3 linked regions of the Sus scrofa genome follow. The main gene of each other region encodes a partner of the protein of the gene in region 2 in a complex. Links are inferred from orthologs where the notes say so. Each region holds a gene or a part of one and is shown on either strand. Other genes may lie near its edges. The genes, in order: SKP2, TRIM21 and ubiquitin-conjugating enzyme E2 E1.

Region 1 (4,425 bases), on a different chromosome or scaffold from region 2:
ACAATAATAATAGTAGCTAACATGTATTTGGGTGGGTACCATGTGCCAAATATTAGGTTCTTTAAAGGTATTCTGATTTAATCCTCACAGCAACCCCATGAAATATGTTCTTACTGTTCCCTTTTTACAGATATGGAAACTGAGGAACAGAGAGGCTGAATAACTTGTCCAAGGTCACATAGTTAGTAGGTGGCAGAAGTGAGATTTGAACCTGGCAATACAGTATGATTCCAGAACTCTTGCCCTTCATCACTAAGTTTCACTAACATGAGGCATTTGGGAAGGAGGAGAGGGCAAATCTGAGAGACACTTAATTGAAGCAACCTGGTGACTTGACACATAGACATTTACCTACAACTAACTCTGGCTGTGGGTGAAATGGAAATATGTTTTATTGCTGGATTTTTCTTGTTTTTTGTTTTTGTTTTTTTTTTTCAATTTAAAAAGTACATTGATCAGTGTTTGTTGTGTACTCACTGTGTCCCAGATACTGTACTAAGGCCTTTATTCCATAATATCATCCAATTTTAACAAAAAGTGCTGATGTTGCCATTTCCCAGAGGAGTAAACTAAGGCAAAGCATCCTACTTGGTGCCATAGAGATCATAAGATGCGAATTTAAACTTCTGACTCAGGGAGTTCCTGTTGTGGCTCAGCAAGTTAAAAACCCAGCTAATATCCATGAGGATGTGGGTTCGATCCCTGACCTCGCTCAGTGGGTTAAGTTCTGGTGTTGCCACAGACTGCAGCATGGATCACAGATGTGGCTCAGTCCAGTGTTGCTGTGGCTGAGGCGTAGGTCTCAGCTGCAGCTCCAATTCGACTCCTAGTCCGGGAACTTCCATATGCCACACACGCGGCCCTTTAAAGAGAAAAAAACAAACTTTTGACTCAGAGGTCTGAGTACTTTTAACTACATCACTTACCTCATGCTTGTCGATTGAATAAGAGTGTTTTGTTGGTATTATGACACTGTTCTCTTTTTCCAGTAATCTTGCTCAGAACACAAATTTAGTGCGACTAAACCTTTCTGGGTGTTCTGGATTCTCCGAATCTGCCCTAAAGACCTTGCTGAGCAGCTGTTCCAGGTAGGAGAAATTTGAGATTTGATTATAGAACTGTTTCATATATACAATTATCTCTCACATCAGAATAGAATTGGAGGAGTTCCCATTGTAGCTCAGTGGTAACGAACCCTACTAGCATCCATGAGGATGAGGGTTCAATCCCTGGCCCCACTCAGCAGGTTAAGAATCTGGCATTGCTGGGACTGTGGTGTAGACCAGCAGCTGTAGCTCCGATCCAGCCCCTAGCCTGGGAACCTCCATATGCCATGGATGTGGCCCTAAAAATTGTTTTTTAAAAATTAAAAATAAAAAATTTTAAAGAATATAATCAGATAAAATTTTTAAGCTATTCCTAACTCTCTGAGCTCTTGATTTGGATAATGCAATATCCTTTGCCCTCCAAACTTCCCATCTCAACTCAAGAGCCAAGTCGATTAAGTCTGCAAAGGACACTTGTATAGTGATCCCTTTTTTTTTTCTGTGACTATTAAAACAAGGGAAATTTAGTAGTGTGTTTATTAGTGGTATGCTTCAAAGTATTCTGTGTACACCTGACTATACAGTCAGGCTTTATAAAATCTGTAGACCTAACTTAACAGTTATTATATTGTTATTGCAGAACACTCCATGACTTTGGTTGATTTATCTTTTATGTAGTAATATCAGTATATAAAGGAAGACTACAGAGTTAGAGAAATTAATACGTGAGGGAGGACATGGTTCACAGAATACCCAATAGTCTATGCATGTGTCCTTTTTAATATCCCTTGGTCTCTGTGCTATAGCATTATACCTATTTCTCCTTAGTGACCTGTTGAAAGTAGATTGCCTTTGGATAAGCATGTTGTCAATGAGATAAAATGGTAACCCTACATTTTCTCAGCAATGTCAGGAATGGAGTGTGTAGTTTAATGGTTGGACTTTTACTTTGAAGCCCTCATTTGCTCACTTAGCAGAGGCCAAATAAGATAAACGTGGATTTTTGTAATATGAGCATCTCTTTATTAGGAATCCCCAGCACAATCTGTCAATTTTTCTAAAACATCTGAGGGACTTGCTCATTCTTCGTAGTTTTTGGCTAACAACCCAGGTGGTTGAGAAAAAAAAAAAAATGTACAGCCTGGAGTTTCCCCCTTGAGCCCTACCTAGGATGAGGTTCGAGCCCTCAGCAGGCAAGGAGAGCGTTCCCCTCCACTTCCACAAGGGGGCAGCATTCACTAAGGCTTTGGCTCACATCTCCTGGAGACTTTCTGGGACAAACTGGACCTAGATAGGTGAAGGCAGTTTCAGGTGAGCAGATGTAGCTGCTTAGAGAAGCAGAGGTTCTATCAGAAAATGGTAAGGAAAGTACAGCTTTGTACTTTCTTGGTTTACAGCCTGAGGCAGTGCTATCTAGAAAAGTGGGTGACACTTTTATACTCTCCTCATCATCCCTCTCGTGTCCAGATTGGATGAGCTGAACCTCTCCTGGTGTTATGACTTCACTGAAAAGCACGTGCAGGTGGCTGTTGCACACGTGTCAGAGACCATCACCCAGCTGAATCTCAGCGGCTACCGAAAGAATCTGCAGAAATCAGGTAAGACTCTCCAGGCTGCTGGACCCTTAGCAACGGCAAACCCAACAATAACAGCAAGTTTGATTTCTCAAGCATTTCCCAAGCACGGTCCTCCATAAACTGCCTCATTTAATCCAGTTCATGTGCTGCCATTCTTACAGCCGCTGATCAGAAGTGGTAGGTAAAGCTGGTGGGATAGTGTCAAGGTTTGAATCCAGAATCTGGAAGCATTTATGTTTAATTTATGTTTAAGCAGAAGACCTTTTTTTTTCTCTTTTCTTTTTACGACTGCACCTGCAGCATATGGAAGTTCTCAGGCTAGGGGTAAAATCAGAGATGCAACTGCAGGCCTATGCCACAGCAGCAGCAACAGCAGTGCTGGATCCAAGCCACATCTACGACCTGTACTGCAGCTTGTGGCAACACCAGATCTTTAACCACTGATCGAGGCCAGGCTTCCTCAGGGACACTATGTTGAATTTTTAACCTGCTGAGCCACAGTGGGAACTCCAGAAGAACTTACTTTAACTAAATTAAGTAAAACCCCAACATAAAAATCAATAAATGCAGTGTTTGCTTAGTTGTTTTGTGTGTGTGTGTGGTTTTTTTTTTTTTTTTTAAGGTGCGGCATGTGGAAGTTCCCGGACTAGGGGTTAAATTGGAGCTGCTGCTGCCGGCCTACACCACAGCCACATCAATGCAGGATCTGAGCTGCATCTGCCACCTACACCACAGCTCACCACAATGCTGGATCCTTAACCCACTGAGTGAGGCCAGGGATTGAACCCACATCCTCATGGATCCTAGTCGGGATCGTTAGCCGCTGAGCCACGAAGGGAATTGTCGTGGTGTTTGCTTAGTTTTAAGCAGTGGTTCTCAACTGGGACCAAGCAGGGGACATTTGTTGAGGTCTAGAGACATTTTTGATTGTCACGGCTGCAGGGGTGTTATTGGCATCTAGTGGACAGAAGCCAGGAATGCTGGTGAACAATGCACAGGACAGCAGAATAACACACAGAAAAGAATCTGGTCTGAAATGTCAATAGTACCAAGTTTAAAAAACCCTGTTTATAAGCCCTCTTTCTAAGTTCATATTTATAACTCTTTTTTTCAGTTCGGTCTAAGAGGACAATGAAGTTGTTTAGACAAACACAGGAATTTAAAGTCAAGGGTACTATGTGACAAAGTCTTTATAACCTTCAGCATTCAGTTATGCTTTGTTTTATTAGTCTAATATTAACAGAATCTTGATTTGCAAAGATAAGTGTTTGCAGATGGCAAGATTTTTTTTTTTTCCTGCAGGCTAGGGGTCGAATTGGAGCTGTAGCCACCGGCCTGTGCCAAAGCCACAGCAATACCAGATCTGAGCTGCATCTGTGACCTTCACCACAGCTCACGGCAATGCCGGATTCTTAGCCCACTGAGCAAGGCCAGGGATCGAACCTGCAACTTCATGGATACTAGTCAGATTTGTTTCCACTGAGCCCCAACGGGAATTCCTGGCAAGATTTTTTTTTTTTTAATTGAAGTGTAGTTGCTGTACAATGTTACAAAAATTAGAGGTGAACAATAGAGTGATTCACAGTTTTTAAAGGTTATACTGTATTTATAGTTACTATAAAATATTGGTTTTATGCCCTGTTTTGTACATTATGTCCTCGTCGATTATTTCTTTAACACATACTAGTTCGTACCTGTGCTTATCTTACCCTTTCCCCCTTCCCTCTCCCCACTGGTAACCAGTAGTTTGTTCTCTATATCTGTGATCTGCTTCTTTTTTTATTATAGGCACTGGTGTGTTA
Region 2 (4,927 bases):
CCCCAGGGCTTTCAGCTGTTCCCGCTCCTCCTCCTCCAGCTTCTGCAGCTGCCTCTGCTCCTCTTCTGCCAGGAAGTTTTTCTGCCGGACAAACTCTTCGTGGATCCTCAGTTTGTGGGCCTCAACCTTCCCCTTGGGTGTCAATGGAAAGAAAGAGGTGTTTTGGTTTTTTCAATCAAAATCTCCTAAGCTTTGGGAATGGAGGTATCCATATCTACTTGCCTTCCTTGTAGACTCATCATCTGGCTGTGTCTGGGAATAAACACACATCCGCAATTTTGCTGGGGAGGTCAGTGGGGGGCTGGAGCTTCTTCCACTAAGAGGGGGAGGTTGGGGGGGGGGGCGCTGAAGCGTCCTGGACTAAGAGGGGGAGTGGCGCTGGTGGGGAGAGCACCGGAGCTGCCCTACAACCATGGCAACATCAGCCGAAAGTACCAGGGACTCCTCAACCTTCTTCAGGTCACCGCCCAAATGTGCCCCTTTGTCCTCTTATCCCAGCGAGTTGCAGAGGGAGCAACCCCGTCCCTACCCCTAAAGCCTCGCAAAGACAGCTCACTAGTCCACTCCCAAGCCCTGGGGGAAACTGGGCTAGTCTCTGCCTGCCCTCTCCTGCTGTGACCAGAGAGGGACGTGATGACACGAGATGACCTCTCTTGCCGCCACAGCCTGACTCACCCTTCCCGGGTCCATGAGCTCCTCCCACTGTCTCTAGTTCCTGACCCACTGCTGCCCAAGCCCTGGAGCAGAACAGGCCGTAGCTCCCGCGACACCTTGCACCAGGAACAGCACGCCGTCAAGAAACCCCTGGTCAGGCTGGTTTTCCTCCCTCAGGCCTTGATGGCTCCTTAAGTCTGTCCTCAGAGCCCTTGTCATGTCCCGACAGGCCGAGCCACCGGGCATTCCTTCCTGGGACTCCTCTGTTGCAGACACGGGCCCTGTGCTGTCATCGCCTGAGACCGGGCTCCAGGAACAGGAGCTTTGGGGTCCGTCTTGTCCCCGTGCATTCTCCCCAAGACCCCCTGTCTTTGCGTCTGACTGGAGTGCCCGCCTTTTGGGCACCGTGCTTTCCTGCTCCCTTCTCTCAGGAGACCCAGGGCACGGCTGGTTTTTGGAGACTGACACATGGGGACTCCCAGTCTCCTGACGGGCATAGCTATGCACAGAGCTCTCGAGGCCAGGACCCTGGACCCTCCCCAGGCTTCTGATCTAAAGTGCCCTTCAGGACGTGCCCCTTGCCTTCCAGGCTGCTCTCTTCGTTGCAATATCCGCTTCCAGCTTCTCAGCCTGCTCCTGTTTATTTCTGAGTTTCTCGAGTGCCACCTGGAGCTTCTCCTGCAGAGAAAGACAGCGGGTAATGCCCAGTCAGACCAAAAAGTAGGGTGGGGGGGCACAAGGTCCAGGAGGATCCTACTGGTCCTTAGAAAAGCCTGAGGCGGGGAGGAGGAAGGGTGAGCCTCTGACCGGGGTGGGCATTCTGTGATGGGAAGACTCTGGAAAAAGCCTGATGTTTCTTAGGAAATAGAGGTACCCTGTTGGCGTGGTGGGGGTGGGGACACATTCGTTCCTAATTAACCAGGAGGCCACACAGAAGCATGGGCCTTGCAGCCTTTTCCCACAACAGACGCCCTGCTCCTGGGCAGTGGGAAAATCGTGCCGAGATGGTGGGTCTTCCCTTAAATAGGACATAGAAGGCAGGGGATCCCCTTCCTGTCCCCAACCCCTCAACTCCACAGGTGACTCGGTCCCACCCCCAGCCCGGGAGAACAAAGCGCTTATCAGGGCCCCACCTTCTTCCCGCCTGCTCGTGCCCAGGTGCCTCCGGGCTAAGGCCTCACCTGGTACTCCTGAGCCGCCTCCTCAATGGGGACCATGGTGTGGTCCCGGTGTTTCCGGGACTGGGAACACACCCAGCAAAGGACCTTCCCATCGTCCTTACAGAACAGGTGAAGCTTCTCTCCGTGCACCGCACACAGCTCCCACTGCGGGCCTTCCTTGACCCCCTGGCTCATCTCTTTGAGGTTATCCACCATGTTGGCCACCTGCCGATTGGGCCGGAGGTTCCTGAGCAGGAAGTGCTGCCGGCACACAGGACAGACGCTGCCCCCATCCTTCCCAACCTCGGAGATGCATTCCTGGCAGAAGCTGTGGCCACATTCGATGCTCACGGGCTCCACCATGGGATCCAGGCAGATGGAGCACGTGACCTCATCCCACATCCTTGCCAAGGGCAGTGCTGAGGCCATGGTGCTGCCGGGCTATGAAGCAGCGCTGAGGAGATCTCGGGGTGGCCTAGCGGGGAGGGGAGAAAAGGAAAGAAGGCGATGAGAAGAGCTGTGTGAGGAAAACAGAACAATTCAAAGGAGACCTCGAGGGAGCGTGAACTGGAGGGGCTGAAAACAAAGGTAACAACGACGTCAACCTGAGTCACAAGGGCTTCTCCTCCGGAGTCTGGTCCAATGAGCCAGTCAGACAGAAGGGGAAACTGAGTCCTCAAAAGAGATAGCAAAAATTGCTGGGAATCTGAGATCAAGCTGCTTACAGTTCCACTTTCATGTCTATCTCTGCTGAAACCCTCGGCGCCCAGGCTTACTCGTCCATCTTCCATCTCCAGCCACTGGTCCTCTTGCTCTGCTGAGAAGCTAATCCTAATAGCAGCGACCACTTACCATGCCCCTTCCCCCGTGCCGGGAGGCACATACTTCACATTCCTCCTCATTAATCCCTGAAACTTGGCAGGAAGGAGCTATCTATCACCCACAATATGAACATATAAATAAGTATATATATACACACACATCTGCACGTGCACATATTTATCCATATGTGCAGGTGTACATACCTATGTGTGTACACACACACAGACACACCCACACACCCACACATGTCTAAAGAGCACTCCCCCACCTGTTCCCTCAGCTTCCTGAAGCAGGCACCTGTCTTTGTTTCCTCCAGGGCACAGACCCCAAAACTTCTAATACCCTAAGCAACCCTGCCCCTGTCGTTTCCAGAGGGGACTTTTGTGGATGGGCGTCTCGGGGATGGCAGGCCTACCCCGCCCTGGGCTCCGGAGGACTTGGAAGTCGGTTCACAGCCCAGCCTCCTCCCGGGCGGACGGCAGCACGGGGAAAACCGCCGGTTAGGGTCGAGGGAACCCTGCGCCCAAGAGGGCTCTGGGGCAGCAGAGAGCTCGGCTGCAAGGGGCTCTTCAGATCCGGGGCAGCGGAGAGCGGTCCCCCGGGGAGGCCTGGGGTACCCGGGTCTAACCGAGTTCGTGAATCCACTCACCTTTTCAAGGGACTCCGCAGATAATAGCTGGCTCCAAGTTTCACTTTCGATTTCCCGCATTTCCCGTCGAGCGCAAGTCTGAAAGGAAGGGGAGGGAAGGGGCGGAGGCGGAAGGCGGGAGGCGGGCGCGTTGAGCTTCGGCCAGTGTCAGCGCCCCGGGGCTAGGATGGCTCAGAGGCTCCGCAGCATCCAGTCCTTGCTTTGCGCTCCTTTCCAAGTCTCTCTGTCTAGTGGCCTCAAGTAGTGTGACTGCTCCGTGGAGAGGCTGCTCTCTTTGACTCGGGTGCTTAGCCCCAGCCTCCGTACCGTGCCACCCAGAGCTGCCTTAAGGAGTTTGGGGTGACCGAAGGAGCTCGGGGGAGCTCTCCCACAAAGGCCACCGTCTCTAGGGAGTTCCCTTCATGGCTCAGTGGTTAACCAACCCGACTAGGATCCATGAGGATGTGGGTTCCATCCCTGGCCTCGCTCAGTGCGTTAAGGATCTGACCTTTCGGTGAGCGGTGGTGTAGGTTTCAGGCGCCGCTGGGATCTGGTGTGGCTGTGGCTGTGGTTGAAGGCCGTCCCCTGTAGCTCTTATTTGATCCCTAGCCTGGGAACCTCCATATGCCACAAGTGTGTTCCTGAAAAGCAAAAAAAAAAAAAAAAAAAAAAAAAAGGCCAGTTTCTCTCTCCTACTTCAGGAAAAAATTCTTTTTAGGAGATGCGGTAATTAACATTGGGGAGAGAGGGATTTTTTTCCTGCATTTCTCCAAGGTGGGTATCACACCAGGGAGTGGGACGAAGGGGCCTGACATTTATTGAGCACCAACTGTAAACTTCTCACTGAGCTAGGGGTTTTCTCAGGTTTATTATTATCAATTTTAAAATTTGCAGCAAAATACACATAGCATTCACCATCTTAGCCATTTGTAAGTGTCTAGTTGCGTGGCATTAAATGCATTCACATTATTGTATGACCGTCACACTATCCACACACAGAACTTTGATCTTGCGAAACGTGAACTCTGCCCCCATTAAACAATAGTTTCCCATTCCTCCCTCCCCTCAGCCCCTGGCAACCACCATTCTGTTCTCTGTCTCTGTGAGTTTGACGTTTTCGGTGCCTTACGTAAGTGGCATCCTACCGTATTTGTCCCTTTGTGACTGGTGTATTTCACATAACCTGAGATCCTCAAGGTTCATCCACCGGAGCCGGTGACAGGACTGCCTTCCTTTTAAGGCTGAGCGATATTCCAGCGTCTGAGTATTCATTTTGATTATCCGGTTATCTGTCGACGGATGCTTGGGGTGGGTGGCTTCCGCCTACTGGTTAGGGTTAGGGTTAATACTGCTGTGTCAGGTTGTTTGCTTTAAGCCACGCAGCGACTTAGCAGTTGAGTTATTGTCACAGGAGAGGACACTGAGAATAAAGGGAGTGAGGTGACTTTAAGTGACACGGTAAACCATGGTGCCTGAGAGTTAAAAGTTCAGGGAGGACCCTCGTGTTAGGGACAGCCAGGAGATAACAGGCTGCCTGAGAGTCCAAGCAGAGGTTGTAGGCGCAGCTGATAGGTGTGCTCATGTGCTGTAGAGAAGGAAGATGGTGAGGCTGGAAAAACTCTCACTTCCTTCCTACTCATTTCTTTTGTCCCCATATAAAATA
Region 3 (4,923 bases), on a different chromosome or scaffold from region 2:
TTTCCGCAAGATTCCCAGGAAAGTAAAGCTGATGTTAACTTTATAGGTACAATTATGGTCGGTAGCTTCTCACCTTTTTTTTTTTCCACCTACCATCTCTTTCCCCTGCATTTCCAAATGAGTTTTTAACCCCCCTAGAGTAAATGGACAAATTGTATCTAATGATAAATCCCCCTCTGTAATTTGCTGACACAAAGCAGACTAATATTTGACACCTGTGCATCATCCCCAAATATATTCATGTACACCAGAGATATCCAGCAAAATATAAAAATACTAATGACCTAAAAGCAAATATTCCACCTTAGGTCAGCTTGGATAAGGAGTTTAGATGCTGGGAAGGAGTTGGGAGGAAGATTAAGGAAGGCCCCATCCAAAGTGGGCAGGAGTAGATGCCAGGTTCTGAAAGACACAGCACAGGGCTAAACAAAAAGGACCAGTTAGGACTTCCATAAAGTTGAGGTGCAATCAAACTAACCCCTGAAACCAAGAACAATCTTACCAAAGGATCTTGCCACTTAACTCTACACCTCTCCACTATTTAAAATAAGCGCAAGTCATCCCTTCATCCTCCTAGGGTGAGGTCACCAAAACACCGTACCAACCTACCAAATTTCAAGTCAGGGAGAGTAACAGGACAAACTTTCAAACTCTATTTGGCACACTACTCAGTGAAGAGATTTAAAGCATCAAGTTCCCTTTTACTTTACATTGTTTTAATAAAGGTATCTCGGCGTTCCCCTCAGGGGCTCAGCGGAATCATATCTGACTAGCATCCATGAGGACACAGGTCTAATCCCTGGCCTCCTTCAGTTCATTAAGGACCCGCTCCGTTCCCTCCTTCCTGTGGCTATGGTGAATGGACCCCTAGCCTAGGAACCTCCATATGCCAAGGGTGGGGCCCTAAAAAAAAAAAAAGAAAGAACAGTAAAAAGAAAAAAAGAAAGGTATCTCCAGCTAACCCACCATTTGGATTCCTTACTGTCTTTCTGGTTTGCCACCTTAAAGTTTAATGACTCTACAACCGACAGCAGGATTTATAAACTATAGGGGTTCCCAGGAATCTACTATAGATACTTTAAGGGTCATGGGAATCAGAGGACACTACTGAAGGATAATGGAGGTTAAAAAGTAGCTTCTTCCAGAGACATAAGAGGAAGAGAGCAAAGAAAAAGAACCACTGCTTGAATTCAACTTAAAAATCAACAATGAAATACCATGAAAAAAATTTGAGTTTCCCTGAAATTTGGTAAATTGAGGTTCTCAAAGAGAACAACAAGAATCCCCAAAATAGCCTAGAATAGCCATTTTACATCACCTATTGATTCATTCACTTGCCTCAACTCTCTAAATCTAAAAAATCTCTTTAAATTCCATCCGAAAACATCTATCTCTACCCATTAGAGTTTTTACTCTGCCAAAATGAGTTATTTATTCCTCATGCAATCTGTGGAGAAAGCTCTATTCAAAACAGTTCATAAGTGCAACAGGTGAGAAGTAAGACGGTAATAGAATTCATTGTGATAGAACTGTCTGGGTAGGTATTAGTAAGAAGTGGGATGACAGCCTTGAGAAGGGTCACAGATTAGTGATTAACAGGACAAGTAATGTGAAATCAGATTCGGTGGTCACTAATAATAGTAATGAAAATTCTTACAAACTTCAGCAAGATATGGGAGAGGCAAGCCACAACAGCTGCATGTGGACAGTGATTAAAAGAAAAAACAGAAGAAGGCACCGAGAAAAACAATTAGGGCCTCCAAGGCCCCTTTTCTCCTCTTTAAGAACATATAAACCATGAGGAGCGGTTAAGCTACCCTCATGGAGGCAGACCAAATGCAGCAAGAGGCAGTTTGGGAAATAGGAAGCCTGCTGGGGGTGGGGGTGGGGAGGGGGTACCGTACCTCTTGGCGCTGGTGGAGAGGAGTTTGGAGTTTTTGCTCATGCTGACTTTACTCTCCTTCTTCTTGGGGGTGTTTGTTTCTTTCTCGGTTTGCTGGTTGGAGGACGAAGATGAGGAGGAGCTGGTGCTGGCCCTCGAATCGTCATCCGACATAGCGAACCCCCCACCCCACCCCGCAAACAGCCCCTGCAGGGGGAGGGAAACAAAACAGAAACACAAACCATGCAGCCAGTGTAAATAAGGAACTCGGGCGCTGTCAGGAGGGCTTCGGCCGGGGGTGCACCCAGCCGCCCACCGCCCTCCACTCGCTTTTCAAAGTCTTCGGGCCCATCATGGCTTTTGCAAATTGGACGCGGCTTGTTTGTTTATTCGGGGCCCCATGTGGGGGACGTGGTGGGAAAACGGTTGGGAGGGCAGAGAGCAGCCCCTCCCTCGCCCCCCGGGGCTCCCCTCCGGGCGGGGAGAGGAGCAGCCGGCGGGCGGGGGTGCGGGGCGCCCGGCCGGGGCGGGCAGGGAAGGTCCCGGCGGCCAGCCGGCCTCGGGCTGTTTTCGGCGGCTTTCCGGGGGTCGTAGGGGAGCTGGGGGCCAGCCGCCGAGTTTGGCGAGGTCAGGAGGAGAGGAGGGCGGAGAGGAGTAAGAGAGGAAGCCGAAACGGGGGGACGGAGGCGGGCAGCGGGGGCCCGCGTGGGGGAAGGGAGAGGCCGGAGGGGGGTAGGAGCGACGAGGCCCGAGGCCCCCGCCGCGCCCCGACGCCCCTTGCCAGCCAGCCCCCGGACCGTGCGGGTCGGGTCTGCGCGGCCCGGGCGGGGGTCCCAGGCACACGCCCGATCGGCACCCCGGGTGGGGGCGGGGGTGAGGGGGGGACTCGGCCTCCTCTGCTGAGGAATAACAATGAGCCCGTGCGCCCCGGAGGGGTTAATCCCCACGGGCCCCCGCCCCAGGGGAAAACGGGGCTCCCCGCCTCCCCTCCCCCGTTCCCGGCCCCTCGGCGGCCAGCGGGGGGCTCCCGGGGCAGCGCTGACAGTTCGAGCCCTGTGCCCCCCGCCCCCGACGCGGGCGGCCCCGCACCCCACGCGGCCCGGGGCCCTGCCCATCCCCCGCGGGCGGGCCCGGACCCCCGGAGCTCCCTAGCCCCTCTCCGCGCCCCCGGCCCCGTGCCCGGCGGCCCGGGCGGCGCGGGTCGGGGGCGGCGGCGAGGGGTGTCCCCGAAGCCCGGCGGCGCGGCCGGGGGGCGGCAGGCGGCGGGGGGGATCCCCGTACCTCTCTTTGTGTCTGGCTGCTCCGTGCCGCCGCGGCGGCTGCTGCTGCGGCTGCGGCTGGGCCTGGCCACTCGTGTCTCTCTCGCTGGGAGAGAAGCGGAAGTGCAGCAACAGCAACTATTAAACAGGCAATGGCTTCCCCCAGCCACACACGCTCGCACACACACTCCTCCTCCCCCTCCCCCACCCCGTCCGGCCGGTCCCACCCACCCGCGCTCCCCTCCCCGGGCACACCTCCGGGGGGCGCCAGGAGCACCCGGGGACCCCGGGAAGCCCGGCCCCTCCCCGCCCCACCCCCACCCCGGCGCCTCGTCGGGACGCGGGGCCAGGGGGCAAGGGCTGTGAATTTTCTCCGGAGGAGTCTGGGGGACCCCTGGATCCTGGGCTGAAGAGGGGAAGCCGTCCCGAGACTGGGGGCGCTGGGAACTGTCGGGAATAGGGCGACCGCGAGGGGAAGTTCTTACCAAAAGGGCTTTGGGAAAGCGGGGGCAGTTTGGTAAAAAAGATGGTAATCTGGTGCCAGGACTTTGGACTAGTGAATACCGAGGGAACTCCTCCTAAAAAGTGATCAGTTTAAGGGAGAAAGAAAGAAATCCCACAACAGGGTTTCCTTTGGGCTGACCCTGGCTTCCCCCTCTGGCAATTTACCTGCTAGGAGCAGAGGTCGGTTTAGGCACGCCTGTGAGAAAATCCCAAGATTGGAGTTTTCTGCTCAGGCACGTGCAATTTTACAATTTTCGATTCTTCCAGTCACTTTTTATAGAAAGAAGTGTTTTATAAAAGTGATACAGTGGATTTCGTGACAGGTAAAACCAACCAACGTCTAAGAGGCTTTCTAATGTGAGAAATCAATGGGAATAAACCCTCTACTACTGAATTAGACTGGATTTAGAATTTTTGCTGTCGGAAATTATATTAAAAGTTTTGAGGACGGCTGCAGCTTCTTCAGCGACAATATAAATGCTATTCAAATCATAAGATTTTAATAATAATCCCTCTAATTCTTCGGAACTCTTCTTTATTTATCGTGTTTACCAAGATTAATTTTTTTTAGTTAAGCCATCAAATTACAATTCAGTTTCTCACTTATTTGTCATTTCAGTTGCAGGAAACTGAAGAGATATGTGTAGTGTAACATATACTAGGTGTGGTACACTAAGCAACTGCCCAGATTTCCCTGGGCCACTCTAAATTATCCCAAACTGCCATCCTTTTCCATAGCAACAGTGTGGCTTCATTTACCACCGGACAACAGAAGACATAAAGCCAGTGGCATATCCAACTAACCAGGAAAACAAGCATTCTTACCACCCACCTAAACCTCTTCTAGTCCTCAACATGAAACTCCAACTTTTTTAAGAGTCATAAAGTAATCGTGCAGACTTCTTGCTCAGTCCTTTCCGGGAAACCTGTATCTGTCTACTTGCAGAAATTGTCATAGACCTGAGGGGTCCAAAAACTGGGAAAAAACCACTTCAGTCATCATTTCAGCCTCCAGCCTCCTACCTCCAGACAGAGCTATCCCTCAATCACTCAAATGTCTAGAAATTTTGAAAAGATCCTGGAGGTGAGAGTTTGATTTCAAGAATCCTGGTAGACAATACAAAACAAACAAAAAAAACCTCCTTAAACCAGGTTGTATACTTTTTGTCCTTCTGATGATAAAGACATAAATTCAAGAGAAAACAACAAGCAAGCCTGAAATAAACTCAGATGGGACGACAAAAATAATCTAAAGACTGTTATAAAAATGGAGACTTC

The links.
Region 1: TRIM21 (region 2) and SKP2 share a complex: the UniProt entries of both Homo sapiens proteins name them as parts of the SCF(SKP2)-like complex. The link is inferred for Sus scrofa from reciprocal best matches to the Homo sapiens genes TRIM21 and SKP2.
Region 3: the proteins of TRIM21 (region 2) and ubiquitin-conjugating enzyme E2 E1 are in contact, whole or in part, in a crystal structure (PDB 6FGA), measured with the Homo sapiens proteins. The link is inferred for Sus scrofa from reciprocal best matches to the Homo sapiens genes TRIM21 and UBE2E1. Residues at the interface, in NP_003132.2 of Homo sapiens: Pro17, Ile18, Cys19, Leu20, Asp21, Glu38, Cys39, Gln42, Val43, Pro52, Arg55; in NP_003332.1 of Homo sapiens: Lys43, Lys50, Arg51, Lys54, Pro107, Phe108, Asn138, Trp139, Ser140, Pro141, Ala142, Thr144.

What each region holds. Positions count from the first base shown.
Region 1 is NC_010458.4:21,483,295-21,487,719, forward strand, and holds part of SKP2 (S-phase kinase-associated protein 2), read left to right. Parts: intron 1-989; coding exon 990-1,088; intron 1,089-2,513; coding exon 2,514-2,644; intron 2,645-4,425. UniProt on the Homo sapiens protein: Substrate recognition component of a SCF (SKP1-CUL1-F-box protein) E3 ubiquitin-protein ligase complex which mediates the ubiquitination and subsequent proteasomal degradation of target proteins involved in cell cycle progression, signal transduction and transcription.
Region 2 is NC_010451.4:5,780,638-5,785,564, reverse strand, and holds the start of TRIM21 (E3 ubiquitin-protein ligase TRIM21), read right to left. Parts: upstream 3,433-4,927; 5' UTR 3,286-3,432; intron 3,259-3,285; exon of another isoform or gene 3,052-3,258; intron 2,290-3,051; 5' UTR 2,244-2,289; coding exon 1,836-2,243; intron 1,333-1,835; coding exon 1,237-1,332; intron 133-1,236; coding exon 1-132. UniProt on the Homo sapiens protein: E3 ubiquitin-protein ligase whose activity is dependent on E2 enzymes, UBE2D1, UBE2D2, UBE2E1 and UBE2E2.
Region 3 is NC_010455.5:10,604,265-10,609,187, reverse strand, and holds the start of ubiquitin-conjugating enzyme E2 E1, read right to left. Parts: upstream 3,352-4,923; 5' UTR 3,164-3,351; intron 2,090-3,163; 5' UTR 2,057-2,089; coding exon 1,905-2,056; intron 1-1,904. UniProt on the Homo sapiens protein: Accepts ubiquitin from the E1 complex and catalyzes its covalent attachment to other proteins. Catalyzes the covalent attachment of ISG15 to other proteins. Mediates the selective degradation of short-lived and abnormal proteins.